Drosophila melanogaster: one gene and its partner. The protein of the gene in region 2 purifies or fractionates together with the protein of the main gene of each other region. This does not show direct contact. Each region holds a gene or a part of one and is shown on either strand. Other genes may lie near its edges. The genes, in order: CG8188 and tau.

Region 1 (6,598 bases), on a different chromosome or scaffold from region 2:
GTGACAAAGGGCCAAAATCATAGGTTACAGGCTGAAAGTGTGATTTTGAACAGACTTTTTGGCCAGATTTATGTGGAGATATTATGGGGATATATTGTGATATTTATTAGCAGGAACGCGGCAAAAGCACAACAACAATGCAATAAACACAGTGCATCCGATGGGCACTCACACACACACACAAACTCACACGCGGACATTTGGAGCCGAAGAGAGGATCGAATCGAATCGAATCGGATCGGATCGGATCGCGTTGTTTTTGTTATTTTGGAGCAGCAGCCCCAGCCAAATGGTTTGTTGCCAGATTCACAACTGATCTACCTGCTTGGCTTTGCTTTTGCCGTTTGTTATTCGCTGTTCAGTTGTTGTTGCTGCTGCTGCTGCTTTGGCTTTTGGCTTTGGCTATAGCTTTAGCTGAAATTGGCGATCGCCGCTCCCTCTTGGCCCCGCCACTCCCTCCCCCGCCCCCTTCCATTTGCCGTCACTGCCGCAGCGATCGGCATTTTCCATTTTGCGGTCGGTCCATCTGCTGGCCATTCATTCAAGTCCGACTTCGGAGAGCACGAGAGAGCGCCAAGCGCAAGTCAGTCCGAACAATCGAAATCGAACTCAGTCCGAATCTGAATCGTAGTCCGGAGAGAAGCAATACCCTAACTTCGGAGCAGGACAAGCCGCTTTGCGATCAGTTTTGTTTATTGAACCAAAGAATCTAATCGTTTTTAAGATTGGTAACTTGTTTATTGGAATTTACTTGTAATTTGTTTAAGGTTTAAAGAAAACCATTAAATGTTTAAAGTTAAAAAATGTATATGAATGTTTAATGTTTGTCCGTTTCTTAAACACAAAAATATCCTAAAAATGTATATTCAAACCCTGAAGTATATTTTTTTAATTTATGGATCCTTGCACGTGCGAGCAGCCAACTACTCATTAAAGGGTATTTCTGATTCGCCGTCCCTGCGAGATTCTGACTCTCTGCTGTGCGACAATATTTGGTTCGAGCGACAAGTTGACTGAAGGTTAGACCCGATCCGATCCGATCGGATTGGAATGTTGGCCCGTCTCGAAAGCGTTGGCGGTTAGACAAAGCCAGCTAGAGGCGGTGGGAGCGAGAGGGGCAGAGCCGCACACACCTACTCTCAAATGAGAATGTTAGTTTATCGGTGTTAGTTTTGCGAGTGTCTCATGATATTTCGCAGAATCGCGGGAATCGAGAAACTCCCCAAAACACAAATAAACTCTTCCGGTGGACAGTGGGCAAAATAAATAAATAAACTGTAAGGGATGGGGGGAGGTTGAGTGGAATTGTATGGAACGAAGCGGAACTAGGAAATGTTATTGTTATTGGCACGCGCGACGTGATCTGGAAAACTAAACTACTGTGCACGGTAAAAATTGAATGATCTGTATTGAATATTCGAATTCTAATGAAATGCATGTAAAGTGTAGTTTTTTACTTTAAAACTACATACATACATACATATGTATATTACTTACCTAAAACCAATTTCAAAAACACCTTTTCAAACTCCCTCTACGCACAAGTATCTGAATTTTTTGTAATTTTCTGGAATTTTATTCTTTTTTATTGCTTTTTACTCTTTGCCCTCGTTTTGTGTGTGTTTGTTGTGTGAGCTTCAAAAGGATGTTCGAACGAAAGGAGGGAGAGAGAGCGAGAGAGCAGCGGGCGTGTAGAATACCGGCGACATAGCAAGCGAAAGGACGAGGATACGGATATCCCATGCACTTATCACCGTGCCATTGCTTTCCAATCCGCTCCAGGCCATTCCATTCCGATCCGATTCGCGTCGAGGGTTTGACAATTTGGAAGCACTTAAAACTAAATCTCTACAGAATGTGCAATCAATCTTTTACAGTATTTCTTTAATAATTTTATGTATTTTTCGTGATTTGTGTGGGTTGGATGCATGGGTGGTGTGTGTGTCCTTTGTGTATCTTATGCCTAAGCAGGACAATTGAATGTAACGAATCGAAATTTTATTTATTTATGAACTAAGCGAATACAATTTTAAAAACACACAAAAAAAAAAAAGAAATCTAAGGGGTAAGTTTATGTTTATGAACGGGGGTCCAATACGCGGACTCACCCCAAATGAGCGATTATAGTGCTCATTAAGGTATGTGTAAGGTGATGCTTTCTAGAGAGTTCTGGGTGTTTAAGAGGTGGCATGTATGAGGCGATAATGTTATCCTTGTTTTGTTTAATCTAATTACATAAATTATGCTAGGATAGCCCATGAGCGTTAAGAAAAGAGAACTACATAAATTAATTGGGTGATGGTTGCAATCCCCATTTCTCTTGGTTGCTTTATGTTGGTTTTTGTTTTCTATATTCTAGGCTCAGTTGAAAGCGGCGTGCCACCAAAAATGTTGGTTAAAATAATCGTATATGGTAACTGGATGCACTGTTCTTTGGAGTGGTTCTTTATCTCTCTCGTTTTACCGAAATTGTTGCAGCTTTAACTTCCGTTCCGTTCCGATATTGGCCTCCAGGGTTCGGGTTTCATCGGTTACTTCGTAATTTCAGTAGCTCAATTTACTTGTTTTTTTGTCTGTTTTGTTTTTTATCAGATCAGTGTAAAATTTCATAGCGCGCCTCCTCCTTTGATTCGACCTTGCTAGCTTTGATCCTGTCGCCTTTCACCTGTTTGTAGGGTTTACGCTCGCACTCATCCATTCTTTAACATCTATCCATTCATACGTATCCGACGTGTTCTGCTACTGCTTACTACTTACTGCTCCTGGTTGATTAGCTAGTCCATGGAACTCCGCCTTATGCCTCTCATAATCTCTTCAGCATGCGTTTCTTCTCCTTGAGCAACTTCTCCTTCTTCTTGTCCTGCAGCTTCTTGTCCAGGCCCGCATGCTTCTTCGTCGAGGGTCCACCATCGTCTTTGGCATCGCCAACAGCGCCTACACCGCATTTGGCAGGCTAAAATAAAAGATATACATATGTATGAGCTAAGTGTGTAAAGCAGCGTGATAAACAATATCATATTGGGATCATTCAACACCTTATGCTAGTATTCCAATGATACACAATCATAACAGAAGGGAAAACCCCTAATTTACCTGGGCATGGATCTCTGTCATCATGCGCGCCCTCTGTGAGTAGTCATCGTATCGTTCCAACAGCATCTTGCCGGCCTCCTCGTTCAGCGCCGATTCCGGATTCGGGACAATAAGCAGGCATTTGATGGTGAGCAGAATGTGCTTGATGCCCAGATCCGGCTTCCAGTCCTTCTTTAGTGTGTTCACACAGATCTCCCCGTTGGCGGCCACATTCGGATGAAAGATCTTGGTGAGGAAGTACGCCTTGGGTGGCGTCAGCGGGAAGTCCTTGTTCAGCGTCAGTTTGACGCGGAAAATTCCAGCGGCGTACGGAGTGCCAGCAGGTCCATCGATCAATGCCTGAATATCCGTCACATCGCTCTCATTGATTAGCACCTTGATGCCTTCCGGTGGCGTGGTTTCCATCTCCTGCAGCTCCCTCATCACCTGCCTTATCGTCTGCGGCGACAGGTTCTCCACATTCGAGTATTGCTGCAAATGGGGGAATGGCATTAGTATGGAATGGCAAAAGTTTATATATACAAAAATTGATTTTAATGACAGGGTTGAGTCATTATTTCTAGTTGGAATTGTACTTATTGGAACATACGAACTTTAAAAATGGATGGCAAGTACAGTACAGTACTTGTAGGCAAGGATTATTACATACAAACTTAACTAACAAAATCACATGTCTCCACAAACAGGGTATTTATTAATGAAATTCATACTCTTAGTATGCTGGAAAGTATTTGTAAGGACGCGATTTTAAGCTCTCACTACTAAACCATTCATAAGATTAAGAAGCATCTGTTGGATAGGATTCTTTACAATCACGGATACAACTTCTTAAGAATCGTTTCGTATTATTATTATTAGAATGCTAACAATTATGTGAGGAACATGCTCATCCTACCGAACTCATGATGTCTGAATTTCCTGCTGCTGTGCGTGTGTGTGTCTGTGTTGATGCGGGCCTGCGCTGGTGTGCGTGCGAATCGCTGTCTCAAGGTTTCAGTTTCGTCAGCTTATTCCTGCAGCTGAGCTCTTCGGCTCTCGGATAGTCGCAATTTCACCGCCTTTTCCCAGCTGCCTTGGAAAAGTGGTCCCAAAATATATGAATATGTGCGTTGTGGGCTGGCTTTAACTATTCCTTTGCGTGTAGACTCCTTATGCTTCCTTTGGCCCCGCTAGTCTCCTTGTCTGTTGTTTGGGTTTATGTTTTCACACGCACTCGTTTAAAGACTATATATATATATGTATTTGGTATAGCACCTCCTCTCGAAAATCTTGATTTTTAGTTTTTCTAGCGACTTAAAATTTTGTTTCGTTGGTTGCTTTTGTTTTGAAATCGATTCGCTCAACTTTGTCGTAGCTGCTGTGTGACCTATCTCGACTCTGGCGTTCACATCTAAACAAATTCAGTTGTCTAATTGGACACTTCACGCTCGACAACAACACACAAAAACAGTTTCATTTTACAGTAACCCTCGTCGCTGGCGCTGCGCTACAATTGGGGCATATTCGTGCTGGCGTCTTGCCTGCCTTCGATTTAAAAGCGGGTTTTTATTTATTTATTTAAAAAACGTCTTTGATTAAAACTGAGCATTTAAATATAGCTAATTCTTGTCTTGTAACAGTTAAGCCTCTTTTTTCGTGCAAACAGCAGCCACTTTGCAAATGTAGCGCATCTGAAGATCCACCCAGCCCACACAAACAAACTGTCTCTACACTAACGCAGCAACATGGCTGCTCAGACTCTATCGATATATCGATATATGCACAACATCGGTTCATGCCTAAGTTACTCTGGGAAATATTTAAAAACAAACAAAGAACATACCGTTATTAAAAAAAAAAACTTATTGTTGTGATAAATTCAAAACCTTTGCTAGCTATATTGAAAACAAATTATTATTATTTCTAAGTCTTTTTAGATACTTTCATTGTTGTTTAAATCTATTGCTTATAGCATATTTGTGGTATTTTAGAAAACTGAAATGGTATATTTTGGTTTTGCATTCCCCACGGTCACTCTGGATCTATTACCATCCGATAACCGATAGTGCCTACCAATATCGAAGTACGATAGTGCCCGATAGGTTCATCCATCCATTTTTTTTATTTAATTAGTTTTAATTTAGATTTCTAACTCTAATTTATTGGCGGCCCCCCACTATCGTCGCTCCCCGCCATCGGTACGCTGCACTTTGGTTCGGTTTCGGTTCGCATCGGGCGTATCGGTTCGATTTCGATCCTGAAGATCAGATCAGAATCTGCGGAACTCAACTGCCGTGTTTTGTGTTGTGTGTGAGGAACGGAGAGGAAAACTGTCAGTGCACTCTTGATCGGGCGGATCGGAGAAAATGTCGAAGAACAAGATAAACACAACGTCCGCAACGGCGGCCAGTGACACGAATCTAATCGAGGTGAAATCGAAGGTGAGTCCTAACTTTCGTGGCCCCCGGATTCCACGCCCCTTTCTGCGGCGCTGAGCTGCTGATTCATGCGCTCAGGAATGGGATTAATAGCTTAAATTGGAGTTCTGTGCGTGGAAAGGGGGTCTTTAGTCTGAGGAGCAATGTGTCTACCAATTTGGGAACTCCTATCTGTTGAGCTCGATTGTGTCAAAGCGGCCAGAGCAGGGATTAATGCTTGGAGTGCGAGGTGTGAGGAGCAACTGGTTTCCATCTTAGAAGCACCCCAAAAGTGACAATTTGCCCTTGCGAATGCATCTTACTTGTCGGAATTCCTGAGCTCTGATATGGATTGTTGCAACACCCTTTATTGCTTGGGCTCTTTGCCTGAAAACCAATCTGTTGCGCCTTACTCAAAAACTACCCTGTTTCGTTCATTTTCTGTAATTTTACAGAGAAGGAAACTTCAGTTATTAATTAGTCAAGGTACAATTCTTCAAGATAAACTCCAGTAATAGCTATAAGGCAGTAGATGTACTGCAATTCAGTGAAGGTCCCATTAAATTAGTAAAATGTCTGCATACAATTGAATCAACAGGTGATGCTGATGAACAAACTATACGGGTTTCAAAAGATTCAGCCCCTTTACTAATCAATACGTATCCTTTAGTTCGATGCAGAGTTTCGGAGGTGGAGCTTCAAGCGAAATGAGGCGGAGCAGAGCTTCGACAAATTCGCATCCCTCATTGAGCAGCTGCACAAGCTGACCAACATCCAGTTTCTCATACTCTACATCGATCCGCGGGACAATGATCTGTTGCCGATTAACAACGACGATAACTTCGGCCGGGCCCTGAAAACAGCACGTCCACTTTTACGGGTCATTGTGCAGCGAAAGGGTGAGTATGGGTATGCATAAGATACAATACGAGCCACTCAACCACAATCTTTTCGTTCACTCTATAGATGATCTTAATGAGTACTCTGGCTTTGGAACGATGAAACCGAGAAACCTCATCGGCAGCATACTGATGGGCCATACGCCAGTGAAGACAAAGGCGCCATCGATATCCATACCGCACGATTTCCGTCAAGTCTCGGCCATTATA
Region 2 (4,899 bases):
TTCCTCCCCCACAGGAATGCTGAACAGAATAATCAATGAGCGAAACGCAGACACAAATTGACCAAGGGAAGCCAACCAAAAGGAAGGCATGCCGATAGATACAACGTAAACCCACCACCCACCGACCGGCTGCATCCCCCCAAAAAAAAAGCTAAACAAATGCCGGAAGGAAAGGAAAACGAAAGCGATTAGGGGGTGGCAAAACCACCCCCCTTGGAAAAGTGTCAACAAAAAGCAGTCGACCTTGCTTAGCGTGCGCTTCCGATTAAATGCACTTGATTTACATAACATTTGAGTAATTTTCTACTAATTAAAATGGTTACCAAATCGATTATTCCATTTTAGTAAGTTCAAATAAAGTGGTAAACTCTAATGCATAAGCTGTGTTGGGAGAGTATAAAATCTGCCCTTAGCCTTGCATACTTATTGTTAATATTTATATTAGTTAATTTCGAATTCACATGGCTGTTACGTGCAAGCAGTGCTGGTTTGGATATTAGCTCTTCGCTGGGTTGTTGCATTAGATTAGCTTGGACGGCAACCTAACGGCAAATTGGATATAATATCAGGCGAATTCGTTTGTTTTAGTAGAAAAATATAAAACCCGCTAAAATAAATATATATAATAAAAAGTAAAATTTTAATAGAATTTTAAAAATAGATAAATTAAAAAATAAACGCTTTATATTAAACAAAATTTTCTCTTTTACTTCCAGGTTTGTATTCAGATTTATGGAACTTAATGAGAACTTAAAATGGCTTCAATTATGGTTATGTTAAATACAAAGAATCGTCAGGAAATCAAACTAATTCAGTCCTAGAGTAAGAACCATAACCTTGGCAATCGAAATTAGGCTACAGAACTATGCAGACATTAGCCCAGGACTACGCTCCTTCCACGTCTGAGTCTGAATCCTTGGCTAACCTCACGTCAGTTTGGATCTCCCCAGGTTTACTTTTATGTCTACGCATTAGAGCGCCGGAGTTTTGCGTGCTGCCTGCTTGTAAATAAATAGACAACAATTAGGGGAACCTATGACAACAACACCTGGATAATGGAAAGGTGCGTGGCAAGCGGTGCAAGTTGGCTCTATGTGGATACAAAAATATATATGCCACCCTCCCGATTGTCGAGGGCAAAGGATTGGGTCTGGGAATGGGAATGCACAAATGCGCGTCGAAATGCCTCCCCCGGTGGCCATTAAATTAATCAAGTCAAATGAAATCTGCATATAAAATCAGCGTTATAGGCTCCCCATTCGCTCATTGTTGGCGTGTTGAATTTGCATTTTTCCCCGGCGCCCCACTAATAAATTTGTATGTCAATAGAATATAGCCAGAATACAAGGGGCTGCTCCACCAAAAATATATCCTGGCAGCGCTTTGAACTGCGCAAGGACACATTCTGTTTATGCGCCCCGAGAAGTTTACGAGCGACCACGCTCCGCCAGACCAAGTTGGCGTATCAAAACAAATTCTAAGTATTGTAATTCGAAATTTTTCAAAGCAAATAAAAGCAGTCGAGTTTTAACACTCGCGCCAAACACAACGCAGTGCAGGGAGCTGGCGTCGTAGCTCCACCAGAATATTTCAATTAAATAGAAAACAAAAATATATAAAAAAAAAATATAAGAAAATATAAAACATATTATATTATTACGCGATTTTGTCACAGTAGAAGTGTGTGGTTACTTACGCCTAGGTAAATTGCACCTTCATTCCCGTGTTCAAGCCAAAGTGCAAAGTGCATTAGCCTTCTCAGGCTGTACGTGGCCAAGTTATTGCCCCCTGGCCAGGAAAATCGATACAATTGCATTGCATGGCGCTTGTTTTGTTTTATGGCCAACTGCAACTGCAACTACAATTGATAGTCTTTGGACTGTGTGATAAAAATCGCTACTGCAGTGGCGCCAGAATTCAATTGCCAAAGGACCAAGTTTTGTTAACCATATTTCACCGAGGGTGAATCTAATTGAAATGCAAGCCACGGGCTTAGGAAACTTTTGTGCTTGCACCTGTGCAACTGTTGACTTACCAACCCCATTCCACTTGGCTGATAATCAATTTGGCCAAGACCATTTGGCCACAAATGACAGTTGAGTTGAACGTTGTTGTGCGGTTGACATGAACATTGTGTGGAATTTCGGTTTATGTCAGCCGCGAATAAATCACAAATCATTGTAGCCCTAATTTGCAGTTGCTGTTTCTGCCAGGCCTTCTTTATTTTGTACTATTATATATATATATATTTTTTTTTTTGCTACTGCCAGGAAGTTGGCGATTCCGACTCTGAGTCGGCACAAGTTGCAGTTGCCTCTTTAGTTGGCAGTCGGATGTGGCACGTGCTGAGGTCATAGCTCCTCCAGTTTAAAGAATCCCTCGTCGTCCTGTGCAATTTTATCGATTCGCCCGTCAAATGTAACACACACCAAAAAAAAAAAAAAAGCACTGGAACTTAATGCAAAAGTTTTCGGTTTTTTCTCCGCATTAAGTTAATTGCCAGGCAGTGCCGAGAACCAGTCTATATAGACATAGTCCCCGATCCGAATTCGAACAGTAGTAACCCACTCAGATATGAGTGATACCGATGCGGTGAGTTTTGCTTGAATTCATATATATTTTGGAGCTGCACTTAGCGCACACCGATTCGCCCATGCACAAATGATTTACGAGCATAATTTGCATAGGGAATGATCCAGGTTAATGGATGTATTATTCCGCCGACCTTGCACATACATCATTGTCAGTGGAAGGAACCCTTTTGCGAAACAAATCAAACAGCGATTTCTTGTGGCCCGTCGATTTGGGCCTTAGAACTGCCAAAACTTTTGTTGAATCAATAAGCCACAAAAACAATTTGGGTCACGTTACAGCTGGCAACCGGATTTCATGACAAAATTCCCTAATGGTAACCAAAGACCGAACGCCCGAACGCCAAATACCCAAATATCCTTATAGCCATATAGCCAAGTAGCCAAGTAGTGAATACCAAAACAATAAAATGTAAACAAATGCAGAAAGAGCCATCAAATTTGAAAGCACCCACTCAATGTGAACTATATTGATACGTACGTCTGTTCCGATACACGAGCTTTAGCTCCACCATTGGCACTTTGGCAACCCCACAGTTGGCAGAAGTAAAAGTAAGCCCACAACGATATATGGCCATACATATGCAAATGATATGGGCCAGTTTGCCGGGGCAGCGGAGCATGTGGGTGTATATCGATGGCATTGGCCACCAAAAAGTGGCTCCGCCACATATTGGGTTACCAGACACTTGCACATTTCTGCACCGACACCGCAGGCGAGAAGTTCTAGTCCTTCGCTAGGATGTACGGCACGGGAAAGGATCGCTCCGGCCAGGAGATTATTTCTCCACAGGATTACCCAGTGCAGCAGCAGCGCGCTCAGTCCAAGTCAGAGTATGTCATGAATTCCGCATCTGTAGATCGTCCTCAGCAGCAGTCGAGACCACAACCCACGCAGGATTATGTGCCTTTTGAGTCCTCCGATTCATCTGTGGAACGAAAGAAAGAACAGCCAAGTGCTCAGTTAAGCACAGATTATACCAATAGCAACACCACTTCGGATAGTGCCTCCTACGGCTCAGATTCAGTTTCCAAACAGCAGATACGATCTCAGCAGAATCCAGAGTATCAGAACAATGCCTATGAGGCACCTAGAGATGACCGCAGTCAACTGCAGCCACAGAGATCCCAGCCAGCTACCGATTACTCTGCATATGAACGTCAGCAACGTCCGCCACCAACCACACTAGACTACACCACCGGCTATAATGCACCACCTAAAGATCGCACCACCCTGTCACGCACCAACTCGCGGCCCACCCTCTCCTCACCCAATCCCAAGCTCCAAAGTATACCCAATACCGAGTATGTGCGACCACCACAGAACTTTGTCTTGCCACCGCAGATGCGTCCCGCCGTGGGGCCACCACAGCCGCGTCCTCCGTTCGCCGGAGCCCGACCTATGGTCGGAATGGGACCACGACCACCCATGCCGCCGAACATGGCGGCCAGGCCACCACCGCTGCGCAGCACAGACAGCAAGAGCAACCTGCTAATGGGTCCACCGATGCGACCGGGCATGCCACCGCAACTCAATATGCAGCAGGCTCGTCTGCCCAATGCCGGCGGACAGCTTAGCCCGCCGGGCCAGGGACCACCAAGGCCACCAGGCGGATTTCCTTGGAATCCAGCCGGGGCACCGGGAATGCCACCCGGAGCACGTCCGCCCCAGAATATGACGCGACCGCCGCCACCTACTTTTGCACGCCCGCCGCCGGGACAGCCGCTGCAGGCACCCTTCAATCGACCGCCTTTCAACCAGCCGCCCATGCAACCGCAACAGCAACAACCACCACAACAGCTGCAGCAGCAGCAGCAGCAGCAACAGCAGCAGCAACACATGCAACAGCAGCAGCAACTACGCCCACTTTCGGCAGCCAGTGCACACAACAACAACGATGACGACGACGACGTGGTCATGGGTCCCGCGGTGACCCCGCTCAAGACCTTCAATTCGAGGCCCGATCCAATGGGCGAGCCCCTACTGGAGGACATCGAGCCGCCCTTCCAGACGAGCCCCCCAGCCGGAGAATCCAAAAAGGGGCCCGGCTTCAGTAAGACTCAGATCGATAAGCGATAAACCAAAGACCATTAGTGAAGCCATTTAAGAGTTTATTTTTAAAATTTAACTATCTCAATATGATTCATGATATATCCATCCATGCCTCCCTCATGTATCTTTTGGTTTATTTCAGAGGGCGACAATGACAGCGGCGTGGATGAGTCCACTCAGGAGAAGGTGAGTTGTTATCGGTTTTGAACCAGTTAACTAGTTAGCCATAAATTGTTACCTCTGCTGCGTCTCCGT

Evidence for each region.
Region 1: the proteins of tau (region 2) and CG8188 purify together in Drosophila melanogaster (affinity purification with western blotting, with the first as the bait; one study listed by BioGRID). This does not show direct contact.

What each region holds. Positions count from the first base shown.
Region 1 is NC_004354.4:17,698,213-17,704,810, forward strand, and holds CG8188 (uncharacterized protein), read right to left. Parts: upstream 4,566-6,598; 5' UTR 3,998-4,565; coding exon 3,989-3,997; intron 3,565-3,988; coding exon 3,094-3,564; intron 2,954-3,093; coding exon 2,804-2,953; 3' UTR 705-2,803; downstream 1-704. Other genes in the region: par-6, read left to right, coding at 5,439-5,513, 6,160-6,388, 6,456-6,598. UniProt on the Drosophila melanogaster protein: Catalyzes the covalent attachment of ubiquitin to other proteins. Acts as an essential factor of the anaphase promoting complex/cyclosome (APC/C), a cell cycle-regulated ubiquitin ligase that controls progression through mitosis.
Region 2 is NT_033777.3:27,647,496-27,652,394, reverse strand, and holds the start of tau (tau), read left to right. Parts: upstream 1-1,640; 5' UTR 1,641-1,702; intron 1,703-2,492; 5' UTR 2,493-2,592; intron 2,593-2,687; 5' UTR 2,688-3,333; coding exon 3,334-4,645; intron 4,646-4,786; coding exon 4,787-4,830; intron 4,831-4,899.